3 linked regions of the Oryzias latipes genome follow. The protein of the gene in region 2 interacts with the protein of the main gene of each other region in a pairwise test. Links are inferred from orthologs where the notes say so. Each region holds a gene or a part of one and is shown on either strand. Other genes may lie near its edges. The genes, in order: neuronal PAS domain-containing protein 2, aryl hydrocarbon receptor nuclear translocator-like protein 1 and endothelial PAS domain-containing protein 1.

Evidence for each region.
Region 1: the proteins of aryl hydrocarbon receptor nuclear translocator-like protein 1 (region 2) and neuronal PAS domain-containing protein 2 interact in binary tests that used the Homo sapiens proteins (3 or more experiments, as listed by UniProt). The link is inferred for Oryzias latipes from reciprocal best matches to the Homo sapiens genes BMAL1 and NPAS2.
Region 3: the proteins of aryl hydrocarbon receptor nuclear translocator-like protein 1 (region 2) and endothelial PAS domain-containing protein 1 interact in binary tests that used the Homo sapiens proteins (3 or more experiments, as listed by UniProt). The link is inferred for Oryzias latipes from reciprocal best matches to the Homo sapiens genes BMAL1 and EPAS1.

What each region holds. Positions count from the first base shown.
Region 1 is NC_019872.2:16,625,581-16,629,577, reverse strand, and holds the end of neuronal PAS domain-containing protein 2, read right to left. Parts: coding exon 3,952-3,997; intron 3,874-3,951; coding exon 3,781-3,873; intron 3,697-3,780; coding exon 3,486-3,696; intron 3,221-3,485; coding exon 3,017-3,220; 3' UTR 267-3,016; downstream 1-266. UniProt on the Homo sapiens protein: Transcriptional activator which forms a core component of the circadian clock.
Region 2 is NC_019864.2:422,706-427,237, reverse strand, and holds the start of aryl hydrocarbon receptor nuclear translocator-like protein 1, read left to right. Parts: upstream 1-1,332; 5' UTR 1,333-1,820; intron 1,821-4,532. UniProt on the Homo sapiens protein: Transcriptional activator which forms a core component of the circadian clock.
Region 3 is NC_019873.2:14,261,420-14,266,035, forward strand, and holds the start of endothelial PAS domain-containing protein 1, read left to right. Parts: upstream 1-1,410; 5' UTR 1,411-1,824; coding exon 1,825-1,850; intron 1,851-4,616.

The sequences.
Region 1 (3,997 bases), on a different chromosome or scaffold from region 2:
ATCAGTAAAAAAAAAAAAGCAAAACATGTGAAATAAGGTCAAATCACATACCTTCAAGAACAAAAACTCACACTAGATGAAAAGCCTCGTAAAGAAAGCGATCTGAACTTGGAATAAAAAAAAACGGATGCATGAGCAACTTTAGGGCATTTTAACTACAAACACTGCAGGTGCCTTTATATACAGCCTTTGTGAAGTATAACAAAATGAAGATCACCTTACATCCCATGCAAAATCATTTACACTGAACACTGGAGTTTGATCGATTGTTTTTTTTTTTTCTTGGGTACTTCCACAAGGCAAACAATTGAAAGTAATACTTCTGAAACAGAAAATAAAAAAGGGAATTGCATTCTTAGAATATCTCCAGTACTATAAATCTCTGTATATTTAACTTTAAAATCAAGTTATCTTGTCTTTTTTTTTTAATATCGACTACTGTAGGCAGAAAACAGTGGATTCATAACAATGGCACCTGTTGAGTTTCTTGTATAGCCAGACCTTAGTTCATAACCCCTTACTGGGTAAGAGAAATGGAAGCAACCCAGTGGCTAAGACACAAATTTAGACTTTTCATATCATGAATAAAAGGACTGGATGATGGTAGACAAATTGCACTTTTTCTTGTCACTATTTTATTTTGGCTGAGTATCTGTCCAACAGATGGAGAAACTGAATCTTCCCCCCGTAATCTCCTTTTCTATGGTGAATGCATGAACCTCCACTTTAGAAATGTGTGTTTGGTTAGCAAGCAACTAGTTGTGCACACACATGCACACACAAAAAAGACCCTGTGTGATCCTGCTCTTCGGAGGACTAACATCCAAACAAAAAGATGCGGTTACAGGAATGTTTGGACATTTCCATTAAAATTTTCTCCATATAAATTACAGCTGCATATAACTCATCTAAATATACATCTGTTCTGAAACATTGCAAACAGTATAAATTAACATTCTTCTTTTGAATTGCACATTTAAAAAAATAAAAAGTGTAAAACAGCACTGAACGCACATGCTGAGTGGTGCAACTTGTGCAAAAAACGGGCAGCACCACTCTCTAATGGGACTTGCACATCTAATCTGTGGTGGCAGTCTGCCTTTTATAAAGTGTGGCAACAAAAGTGGGTTTCCTGTAAAACTGGGCCAGTGTAAAAGTTTTTTTTTGTTTCAAACTGGTTTATCAAGATTTCATCCCTGCTTAAAAGCATTTCTTTGTCTTCTGGAATCGAGTTTCGACAACATGCTCCATTCATCCTAACTGTTTGTTGCAACTGTCATTGCATTGCTATTGAGCTCTGGGAACTGCAAAGAGCGCACAATGCTGCATTATTCCTCCGGCTTATAAATTCGTTTGTTCGTCTTTAAATCCCAAACTGGCAAAGACAAAAGTGCAAAGCAGATTAGTCGTTACACATCATCAATTCTATCATTAAACCAGCACAAAGAAAAAGTGCGGATTATTCCCCAATGTGGCTAGAAAAGTTTAAATGATGCAACACAAAAAGATTGTAACATTTTCACACAGTGACAATGATCCTTAAGAGAAATGCAGCTTTGATTTTCTTTTTCAGGAATAGGGCACATCCGAATTTTTCTGTTTGAATAAAATACTAATCAGTTGGACTAAACATTTACTCTTTAATAAAATAATAGAATCTCCCGGTAACGACTAAAAGACTGACCAGGCCTGAATAAAATCTGCAGCAGTGTGTTGTTGCACTACAATCAAATGCGTTCAAGAAAACACCACGTGCCAATCAGTGGTGGTGCATGGAAAAGATGTTTTATTAAACCATGAACGGGACAAGACACAAGGACCAGGGAGCAGGATTGACCTCTCATTGTCTAAAATGACACAAAAATCTATTAAAACTTTTGTGTATAAAATGGATTTTTTTCATCATATACTTTTTTTTAAAAATAATAATTCCATTTATATCTGATATCATCACTACAGACACTTTCAGGGAATTGGAGACTAGCCAAACATGTAAAGGTTTCAAGTCACCCATTACACAGTATTTATGTATGTAATATATCCAATACAAATCTATTTTCGTAATATATTTTCAATCTGATGCAGAAAATTAGAATTATACTCTTATGAAAATAAACCTTTTATTTCTCAAATGGACCTGAGCTGGATTTTTAAAGCCGTAATCAGACAAAACTATCAAACCACAACAGGTATGGCTGAAGGCACAAGTTTCCCCCCTTTGGTGGCTGTTCTTTATTTATTTTAGGACTGCATAACTTCTCAGAAGCAACTAAAACTACAATTTCAGAGCTTTGTGTAAGAAGTTCTAGGAATTTCACAGCACCCGTTCTTCAGTTCGGATTGAGGCTTTAAAAATCTAGATCGACCTTCCATACGGTTGAAGACGATCCCGGCTTCCAGCAGTTCCGTGTAACATCCATCGGATCTGCTAATAACATGCTTTGATATGACGGTTGCCTTAAGGTTGTATTGCACTGTAAAGCTTGTCTCTGCGTGCAGTTTGAGAGACGGTGGGTACCGTTAAAGAGCTGTGACACTTTTTGTTTTGACTAAAGACGTTTTAAAGATGTGTCACTGTGGGATGGGGTGTCAGACTTAAGATTTAATAGATAATCTCAAAGTGAAGCCGAACATTAATTTATGGGTCAACAATAAATATTTGACTCTCGGGTAGGGTATCAGGCTACAAACAGACACTGAAAAAGAGGACCTTCCACATGTGGGCCTTAAACCTCCTCCTGGTGCGATGTGGCCTTGTGATGACTCTGATGAAGGCCCGGCGACCTCAGGCTCTGCTCAGATCCTGCAGCCCACGTTGGGTCAGTGCAGTCTGCGGCACCTTGTGTGCCGGCTTCCTCAGAACAGGCGGCTTTACGTCAAAGGTCAGATCCCCCGCGAACGGTCTCCCGTGTCCTGGGGGGAGGGGGGTCTTCCAGTAAAGTTTGACCGATCACAACGGCGCCTGAAGAGCCGCGCCACAGCGGCAGATTTTAGTGCTCGGACTGAGTCCGCGGTGCTACCGAGTCAACATGTTTCGGAACTCTGAAACGTTGCCAGTTTGGTTTTGGGAATGTTGGTACTGCCGTTGCTGCTGTTGCGTCAGTGACAGCTGCTGTGACTGTGGCTGCTGCTGAATGTATCCCACGGTGCTTTGCTGTGAGACATTAGTGGTTTGTAAGAAAGCTTGAGTGGATCCACTGTGAACAAGTCCTTGAGTCATCTGCACAAAAAAAGAGAGCATGAATGTGTTCTGGCCTTTCTTCTATTGTCCAACTTAGCATTTCAAAACTCGTTACCATCAATTTTTCAAATTAATTCTCATCTTTTGTAGTATTTTGTCTATTTTTTTTTTATTATATGGTAAATTATTCTCATATATAGGGATTGGCATACCATCTGTCTCTATTACCGGCTCTCTAATGATTAAGTTTAGCTTATATTACCTGAAATGCTCACATGATTCATCAAACTTGTGAATTTTGTACCTGAAAGAACTGCTGTGGCTGCTGAAGCTGCAGGGAATGCTGTGAGGCCTGAGGCTGAGAGTGGTAGGCTGGCTGGGACTGATGTGTGATGAAGGTGTTGTGTGGGATCATTATGGGGGACGTGAACACTGGCGAGGGCACAAGCAGGGCGTTGCAGTTGACCTGCTGCATGGAGAAGGAGGGGGCGATGATTGGCTGTTCCAGGTTGTATCTGCATGGAGGAACGCAGTCAGACATACTGTGACCAACACGCAGCAACCGTGAGCGTGCGTGTGTGTGTAATCTGATGGCTTACAGGGTTTGGGAGATACCCATGTTGCACTGGGAAGGCTGTGAGGTGACACTGCTTGTAGGGACCAGAGTCTGCATTGGCTGATTGAGGAGCATCCTGTTAAAAAATGAAATCTTTCAGTGGAGGACCTGCATGAGCCGTGCAGCCTTTTTCGTCATTTTTCGGAGTCCTTACCTTAGCTGTCCCTCTTGGCTGAACTGGTTGTCTGTGTGTCTTTGGT
Region 2 (4,532 bases):
TTCGATTCCCGCCTTGCACGCCCATGTGCCGAAGCGTCCTTGGGCAAGACACTGAACCCCACCTTGCCTCTGGTGGGAGGTTGGCGCCAGTGTTTGGCAGCGGAGCCGCCATCAGTGTGTGAATGTGTGTGTGCATGGGTGAATGGGACTGTGACATTAAAGCGCTTTGGGCCTTCGTAAGAAGGTAGAAAGCGCTATATAAGTATACGCCATTTACCATTTACCATTTGCCCCACAAACTCCTATTCAAGGAGGCTAGGATTCCCCGATCAAAGCAAGGAGCCAGACCCAGGAGATCCCACTGCAGCGACCCTGTTCACCGAGAAGATCCAATCCCCGATGTGGAGGATCCGTCTGAGGAAAACACTGGAGCTAAAACTAAATGTAAAAGGAATCAAATACATAAAAGTGAAAAAGGTTGTCAATCAAATGAATAAACAGTCAATCGTTGACAATGCATTAAAAAGATAAATTCAAAGAAGTAAAAACAGAAGTGACATTAAAAAAATTCAATATCTAAAAAGATCCTACATTTCAGCCAAATTAAAAAAGGGAGGTGTTGAGCCTTCCTTTAAAAACATGAACAGTGTCCGTGACCCTGAGGTTCTCTGGGAGGATGTTCCACAGAAAAGATCCATAAAAACGGAACGAGGCCTCGCCGTGGGTTTTAGTTCTGGCTTTTGGAAGAACTGAGAGGCTAGTATCAGAGGACCTCAAGGTCTGCAGGGGCTCTTCTGTAAAATCAAATCAGAAAGATAGGATGGCCAACACCAAAAAAACATTTAGAAACCTATAAAAGAACTTTTGTTCTTTTGAGCCAACAATGTGTTGTTTTAAACTTCCAGCTGCTACTTTTACAGCTTTTTGAAGCAAAAAAGCAAATAGGTAGTTTTAAACAATACTAACATGTTTTATTGCATCAAAGTCAGAAACATCTTATATTTAAAATGCATATTCATTGGGTTAGTATTTATTTTCAAACTGACCATTTAAACAATAAACATTAATTCACTTTTCCTTCTTTGAAGGGATCAATTACCGTATGACAAGCATAAGTTTAGTAATACAAGTCTTTTTTTATTGTTAATCTAGAAATGGCATCATTACTATTTATGGCCAGAAGAGGGAGTGAAAGTATAAAGTCAACTTGTCTAAATCTGTAAATCTAAACTAGGTTTTTTTCTTTGAAGGCTCCTCAAATATTTTTCCGGCAACTATTTCTAATTTAAAAAAATGCTTGAACTCAAGTAATGATGACTTTAATGGAAATCATTTTTTTAGATGAACACAATCAATAAAAACAGATACTGACTTAAAATGTTTTGTTACTTTACTCCTTGAATTATGTTCAGTTTTTATCTTCTGTCCACCTGATGTATCCGTAATTCTGTTAAATTAGTTGACATTTCATGTGTGATTTTTTTATCTTTCTTTGTTTTATTTTATTTTTTTTGGCTCGGGACCAGTAAGTGTTACGAGCGTACTTGCTCTCGGCTTGGTTCAGTCTTTTCCTTTTCACACACACAGACGCACACATAACTGGCCCCTGCATTCCTAGGCTAATTCTCCTCTCATTGGTCAATCAGCACGTCAATCATGGTTCTCCAGACTAAGCTTGCGTTTGATTGGTCGGAGGAATACCCAGTGCCAATGAGCAAACGCTATTGGCTGAAAAACTAGGTTAGTGGTCCGACAGGCATGACGGTGAAAAGAAAGTGGGTCACCGATTGAAAATCGTTTATGTCACAGTTCTTCTGTGTGTCTCTACTGCTTTCTCACCGGCGGCTGTCCATGGATCCACGGGTCACTCCGGGCGGTCTGTAAGTACTAATTGAGGGCGAGCGAACGCTTTGTCTTTTTGTGTGACTCGGCTGGGTTTAAATCACGGTGGAGATCTTCGATGTTTTCCCGGCGCTGTGCAGTCATGTCAGCGGGAGCTCGGCGGCCAAGTCTCGGAGTTAGCGTTCCGTAGTTAGCAGCTGTGTGCTAATATTAGCTCGCTAAGATGACTTTGTGTTCTGGATTACGGGAGCAGAAGCCGCCGGGCTTTTGGTGCGGGCTCGTTCTTTGCCAGCTATTGTCGGGCTACGAAGAGGCTCCGGGACGGGGAAGCACCGGCCCGTGAGCTGGATAACGCTGCCCAGGCGTGACCGAGCGGCGGACGGTCAACCGCGGCCACCGCGCTAGCAGGCTAACGATGTAAAAAAAAAAAAAAGGCCGGGACTGGGGCTCGGCGCACGGTTTCTTCGACAGCATCCAACCTGCTGCTGCAATTTCCTAGAACCACATCTGTCCGCAGAGAACCGAACGGAACCGAGCGGACCCGCTTGTTGTCGCAACCCCACGCCACGCGCGTGCGTCTTCTGAAGTGTTCGTGCTGGAATTCATTGGCAGAGAGTGATGGATGTCGCTGTGGCTCCGGAGCAGCCGGGGTTCCCCGGTCTGAGCCCCGCCACAGGGTTTGACTGCGGAGGGACCCCGCTGGTCTCCCACCCCAACTCACTGGGGACTCGGCGGTCTGTGGTTCGATTCCTTCCTCATCATCGTGCTGCAACCATCAAGCTTGTATTCTTACGGTTCAATCAGAGCTGAGTAGACGGGATCCATATATTGAAATGTTTGTTTTTTTCAGTTGACGTCTTTTGACTGTCCGTCTCGAGTCAGGCTCGTGCCTCCCTTTCCTGCTGCTCAGCCGGCATCAGTCTCGGCGGGTCTACCGTTCGGTACCGGGCTCGTCGTGGTTCTGACTGGACCTCAGACGTGACGCTGCAGCTGCTTTGGTGCTGATCTTCACGATAGCATCTAGAAAGCAGCAGCAGCAGCTTGTGATGACTCAGCAAAAGCTGCTCTCTCTCTTGTCTGAGCCGCTGTTTACACCAAACTGCACATGAAAATTAAACCAAGGAGAAGTTCTGAAGTGTTTCTGTCATCAGACATTCTTCTGGAGAATCATGTGGTTTTGTTGGTCTGCAGGAATATTCATTTGAAGGGTATTATTCCTCAAGTCTTTTAATTTCACTCAACATTTTTAATGTAAACAATGTAAACTGTGGGATTTGGATCAAAAACGTCCAAATAACCTCCGCTGCCACACGAGGCTCTTTTAGCCATGGATAAAGGGCTAAAGTCAGTCTGGATAAAGAAACAATAAAGTAGTACAGTAGGGCTAAAAAGTAGACTAACTCAAACTTTATTCAACTCATTCACAGATGTGGAAATACAGAACAGACTGAAACATTTTGACAGGTTTATGCTCCACAGAAACTCAAGTAAAGATGGGTGATCACAACCGGAGTTGAGGTGTAGTGGTTCCTAAGTCAGATTTTCTTTTTCTTTCTTTTAACAACTTCAAGGATTTTAAGTGCACCGGATAGTTAAAAATACATTAAGGATTTCTTAATTGGCTCTGATTTAATTTTGATTAGTTAGTTTTTCACATTTCTGGCTGTACCACAAACATTAAAATCAACAGTGTTTTTTAAAATCCTCTTGACATTATACTACAATTACACTAAATCTGCTGCATTGAGATGATTTAATGACACGGGGTGTTTTTTATTTTGAAAGGAAGTCATTTTAAACTCTGTCAAAAGTGATACACCACTTCATATTTAGAAAATATGAAATCCTAGCTTTAAGTTTTATTTATGCAACAGTCGATCTATATATATCATAATAACAACAAGAACCTAAATATAAATGTTTTATTTTCTTAAAGGGTGAAGTCAGACTTTGTGGCGTTTATTGGGTTGTGGTCAGCAACAAATGGACCTGAATGGCTCTTAAGTGTTGAAGCTTGTAGAGGGGCGGCCGTGTTGCAGTGATAGGGCGGTCGTCCCATGATCGTAAGGTTGCAGGTTCGATTCCCGCCTTGCACGCCCATGTGTCGAAGTGTCCTTGGGCAAGACACTAAACCACACCTTGCCTCTGGTGGGAGGCGGGCGCCAGTGTGTGAATGTGTGTGTGACTGGGTGAATGGGTCTGTGACTGTAAAGCACTTTGTCATTGTAGGAAGAAAGGCACTATATAAGTATACGCCATTTACCATTTACCCCTGACTTTGCATGTTCTGACTCTGTGACAAAGACTTTTGTGAAAGATGACTAAGGTATTTAAAAAAAATGCATTAGTCTTGTTTTTGTTCAAGATGTGCCATACATTTTAGAACAATGCACCTATGCATTTTTATTTAAAAGGCTATGGTGTTAAGCTGGAGAGGCACTAAAGTGAGTCAGCTGAAATTCTAGCAGATTGGATTTGAAAAGGCAAACTTTGGAGGGTTTCATAAAGAAAATGTAGGGTAATAATAAGGCGTTAATGACGTAACAGTTGGCTTCGGACAGAGCAAATGTCCACCAATATCACGCTGGTCATCATAACACTGACTTAATGAAAAGTAATTAGTTTGTCCTGCTAGTCTAGAAAATGACTGAATAAAATAAAGACTTTCTGTGGGAAACCACACATGTTCACATAAAGCAGGAAAAAGTGACTCAGCATTAAACATAGAATCACTTTTAGATCATTTCCAG
Region 3 (4,616 bases), on a different chromosome or scaffold from region 2:
TGCAAACTGCAAAATGCCATCATGAATCTGCACCATGCCTCAAGGAAACATCCATGGAGAGAAAACAGTAACAACAGCAAAGAAACGTCTTGCCCTCATATGTTCAACACCCTGCATCACTACTGGAGTCAGCCAAGCTGAACTCTCCATGGGGAAAAAGATCCCCAAAACAGTCTCCACCAATAAGAAACATCTTCAGTCAAAGTGTGTCAATTGACTTTTCTGCTGCTGTCATCATGCGTCTTTCCTTTTAACCACCTGGAGACACCGTCATGGCCAAGAGGAATTAGAAAAAGACCAGAGTGACATCTGGAGTTGTTTGTCAGGAGCATTTTACCCCCTGCACTTACCGTCTTGGATCACCAAGGATAGTGGATCACAAAGGTTACTGCAGTGGAGCTATACCAATCTAAAAGTCCAGATACATCAGAGGCTGCATCCTCAGTTTTTATCTCATACCATGCTTACACACCTGCTGTCCTACCTTTGACTACTGTGCCAGAGCCAGTTAGGAGTTTGTAAGTTTACAACTTAGCTGAGGGACTGCATCTGTATTCTTTGTGGAACAATGTATGCAATGCTGTCTTTTTTTGGGGAAGAAGGATATGTACATATAAAAAATATTAATAAATTACATAAAATGTTGATACTGCAATAATTAGCATTAAATAAATATTTTTAAGGTAACCTAAAAATCAATTTATTATTGTTAGTTAATGAATAATTAAGCAGTATTTAACTATAATGGTATAATATGGTATAAATGTATTATATTAAGAAAAGCTGTTATCTCTTAATTTTAGTCTTCATTTGATATGTATGTATGTATGTATATATATATATATATATATATATATATATATATATATATATATATATATATATATATATATATATAAAATACAGTTGGTGAAGTCAATAGTAAATTTCGAGGTTGACGAATTGTTTTGGTTGTAAAGGAAAAATGTTTTTGGCTTTTATGACACAGTTTGAAGGCTGTTGAAGTCTGCTGTTTAACAGGAAAAAAACACCACTATTTTTATTTATTTATTTATTTTCCAACAATTTGCACGTTATGATACATTTTGTTGGGCGGATTGTGGAAAATGTTATTTTCTAAGAAATAAAAAAATATCCACTCATTAATTAGTGTTCTAATCTAGAAAAAGTTTTTTTTAAACAATAATTTCAGAGAAACAATTTTCTTTGAACAATTTTATGTTTTTAATGAAACGCGTCGAATTTGGCAGCTGCTGTGGCGGGAAAAGGTCCCAGCTCCTCACACCTGTTGCGCCGCAGAGACAAGCAGGTAGAAGTTCGGCTCGCGCTGGAAGGGGGCGGGCTCTTTACAGAGGGGTGGATCCCTGTTGTGGTTTTAGCCAATCAGCGCTGGAAAACGGCTGTCACCGTGCCAGCTGACATTCGGGTCAGAGACCGCGCAGCTTCTGCGGGGACTTCTGTCAGTCCGCGAGGGAAAAAAGTTTTGACAAGCAGCTCGTGTCGACAGCAGCAGCGGCTCGGCGTTCCCTTCCAAACCTGCAAGAGGTGTCCTGTGAGCGGGGAAAGAAGAGGCCGTACAATCCTCGGCAGTGTTCTGAGACTGTACGCCCCCCCCCCCGAAGCCCCCTTCTCTTACAAGCCCGGACGCTTTCTTCCAGCCAGGGTTCCATGGACTTACTCATCGCATAGAGGGACTTCTTCTCACCTGCGCTCTTTGGCCTAAAAGCGGCACTCCCCTTTCCTCCAAAAAAAAAGAAATACGTCTACTAACTTTTAAATTAAACTTGAGTGGAGTTACTGCTCTGCGTCTGAGTAAGCCAAACTATGACAGCTGACAAGGAAAAGAAGAGGTAAGAGCAGAAATCTATCTGTTTTTCTTACGTGCGCATGCGCTTTGACTTTCTTAATTCATAATAGTATTTATTTATTTATTTATTTATTTATTTATTTATTTATTTATTTATTTGTGTATTTAAGGTAGAAGCAGGGACCTGTTGCTGCTGTGTTCTCGGCCTGATATCATGATGATATTTAGTAAAGCTTTAATGGGTCTTAACAACCTATAAAACGTGATGTAGTTAAAAAATAAACATAAAAATCAAATCAGATTTAACGACGCGTTTACCGGGTGATACGCTGTAAACACACTGAATGGCTTAATGAGTATTTTTTTCATGTTGCTTGAGGTTTTTCAAAATAAAACCTTACCTTCCTGCCAATTCTATGGACTGACAATAGTACACTGGGATGTCAATATTTAAGCAGGATATTAATATCATTTTTAGTTTTAGTTATTCAAAATGTTAATAGTCAATTATAAGCAGAAAAGTAATATTTGTATCCTTCACCTCTGGTTTTGAAAAATCCAAGATGTCTGTAAAAGGACAATAACTGCTGATGGCTTCAGAAATTTATAGGCATCCTTACTGTCAGTGTGATTTCCTCTTGGATTTTTTTTCTTAATTTTTTTGGGAAATATCAATCCAAGAAACGTTAGCATAGAAGGGCATATACAAGGACTTTTGCGTACATTAGTGTCGTGTGCAAATTTCTAGTTCACCTGTGCCCACGTGACGAGGTCTGATCCTTTCAATCAATGTGGCACAGTTTGAGTCTGTAGTTTTTCTTGCATATTCAAATGACTAATGGAGAGATCATGGGGCGAAATTGTGTTTAATTGTGTTTACTTAAGGCTTTCTCGTCTGTCCAGTTCAACCCAAATATTAGCACAGCAAGTATTTTAACTGCAGACAGAAGCTTAAGCAAATGTTTTGAAAGACCTGCAAGTTAGGAAAAACACAATTAAAGTTTTTTTTTTCAAAGCACCATCATAATAGATTTATTTATTTTATCTTTAATTTAAGCACTTAGGCTAGGTAATCATTTTATCAATCTGAAGATTTATGTTTAAATTTTTTAGTGAAAAGTAGATTGTTTTAAAAAAAATAAGGAAAACAAAAACTGGACACATTCTTTAACTTAAATGCTTTTATTGAAATAAGTTATTTTGATATAGTGATTACCTTCATTTTTATCCCCACTTACATGAATTGTCTCCATCAAATATATTTTTATATATTCTAAATATTATGTTACTTTTTGGATAAATTACCTATTTAAAATAAAAGGAAGAGACTAACTTTTATGCCTTTTCCACTGGTTTGTTTTAAGCTTGAATCTCATGTATACAATGTCTCTCTATATGGTATTGTATGGTATATTGTAAGTGGTAAATCTTATTTTAATTAGAAAAAAACAGCTAAAAAGTATTTGGCTTCTTAGACTCTTAGAAATGTTGCAAAAAGTTCTGTTAAATCTCACACAAATGCATTTAATGCAGGAATTCTATCAGTTTCAGTTTGCCATTTCGCACACATTGTGCTCACATTTTGCACGTTTTTAACTTATGGTACTTTTTTTTTCACACCGTGTTAACAGCAAATGTCCTTTCAAAGTTGCAGCCCACTGGTAGAATGTTTTAAGGCCCTTTGTCTCATCATACTGTTACTTGTCATTTTATTTTTTTCTAGATTTATCATAAACAATAGCTCTTCTCAAAAGTTTGAAAAATCAAATTTAATTAATTTAGTCGTGTTTTTTTGAAGCTAACCAGACATTTTCTGACATCTAAAAATGATTAAATTAATTAGTAAATAAGTTGCATTTAGTAATTTGGTTTAAAAAAAAAGTCACCTGAGAGAAATTGACCCAAATTAGTTTATTTCTTATCTACTTTTATATCCAAATTATGTATAAACATGTTTTAGGGGGATTTAGGTGTTTCCATTCTCACATCCTTACATGAAATTTGCTGGTTTAATGTTAGAATTTGCTGTTTTGAACTGGTTCTTCCCACTTTCTGCTTGGAATTGAAGTATCCCTTCTGAGAAATGCAACATTAAGGCCTGTAATGCAATTGGATCAGAATAGATGGTTGATTCTAAATAAATAGACAATATTGCTGAGGTTGTTGTCAGTGATGAAGGCAAACATCAAATAAATTGTGCAGGATAAGATCTTTCAGCCACATTTAAGTCTAAGCTCCAACCTGGAGTCAAAATTTCATCTGTCATCAAAGTCTGACAAGGATTTATGGCAATTTGTTAAACTTGTTTTAGTGTAGATATCATTAAGCATATAGTGGATGTTGGATCATCATTCCTGCCCTTTTTTATTCAACAAGTTAAAGAAAAGTCTCTTCTTAGTGACTGGAGAAGTTTAGATCACTTCTTCTTGAGCTCAGTCTCGTCAGCAGGACTTGTTTTTCTTTTTTTGTTCACAGTCCGTGCATCGACATTTTAATCAAGCTAAGCTGTGGACTTTGACTTGGGTTCCCTCTTTTCTATTTTTACCCTCAAATGTGAAGTGGTGGATTGACAACTATTGAGGATCGTTGTTCTTGTATGGCTTCATTTGTTTTAAAATAAGCTGTAGCTGTTGGATAAAAGCCGCATAGAGGCCTCTAGAATGCCCTAGTTTACCGAGGGGTTCATGTTTGATTCCTGTACAAGTTGCTCAAGTTTAGCTTTTCCTGCACAAAGAACCCTTTTCATGATTCTTCCACTACTGTGCCAATGTTTTGTCCTGGGGAGGATAGTTCCGTTTTCTGCTTCAGC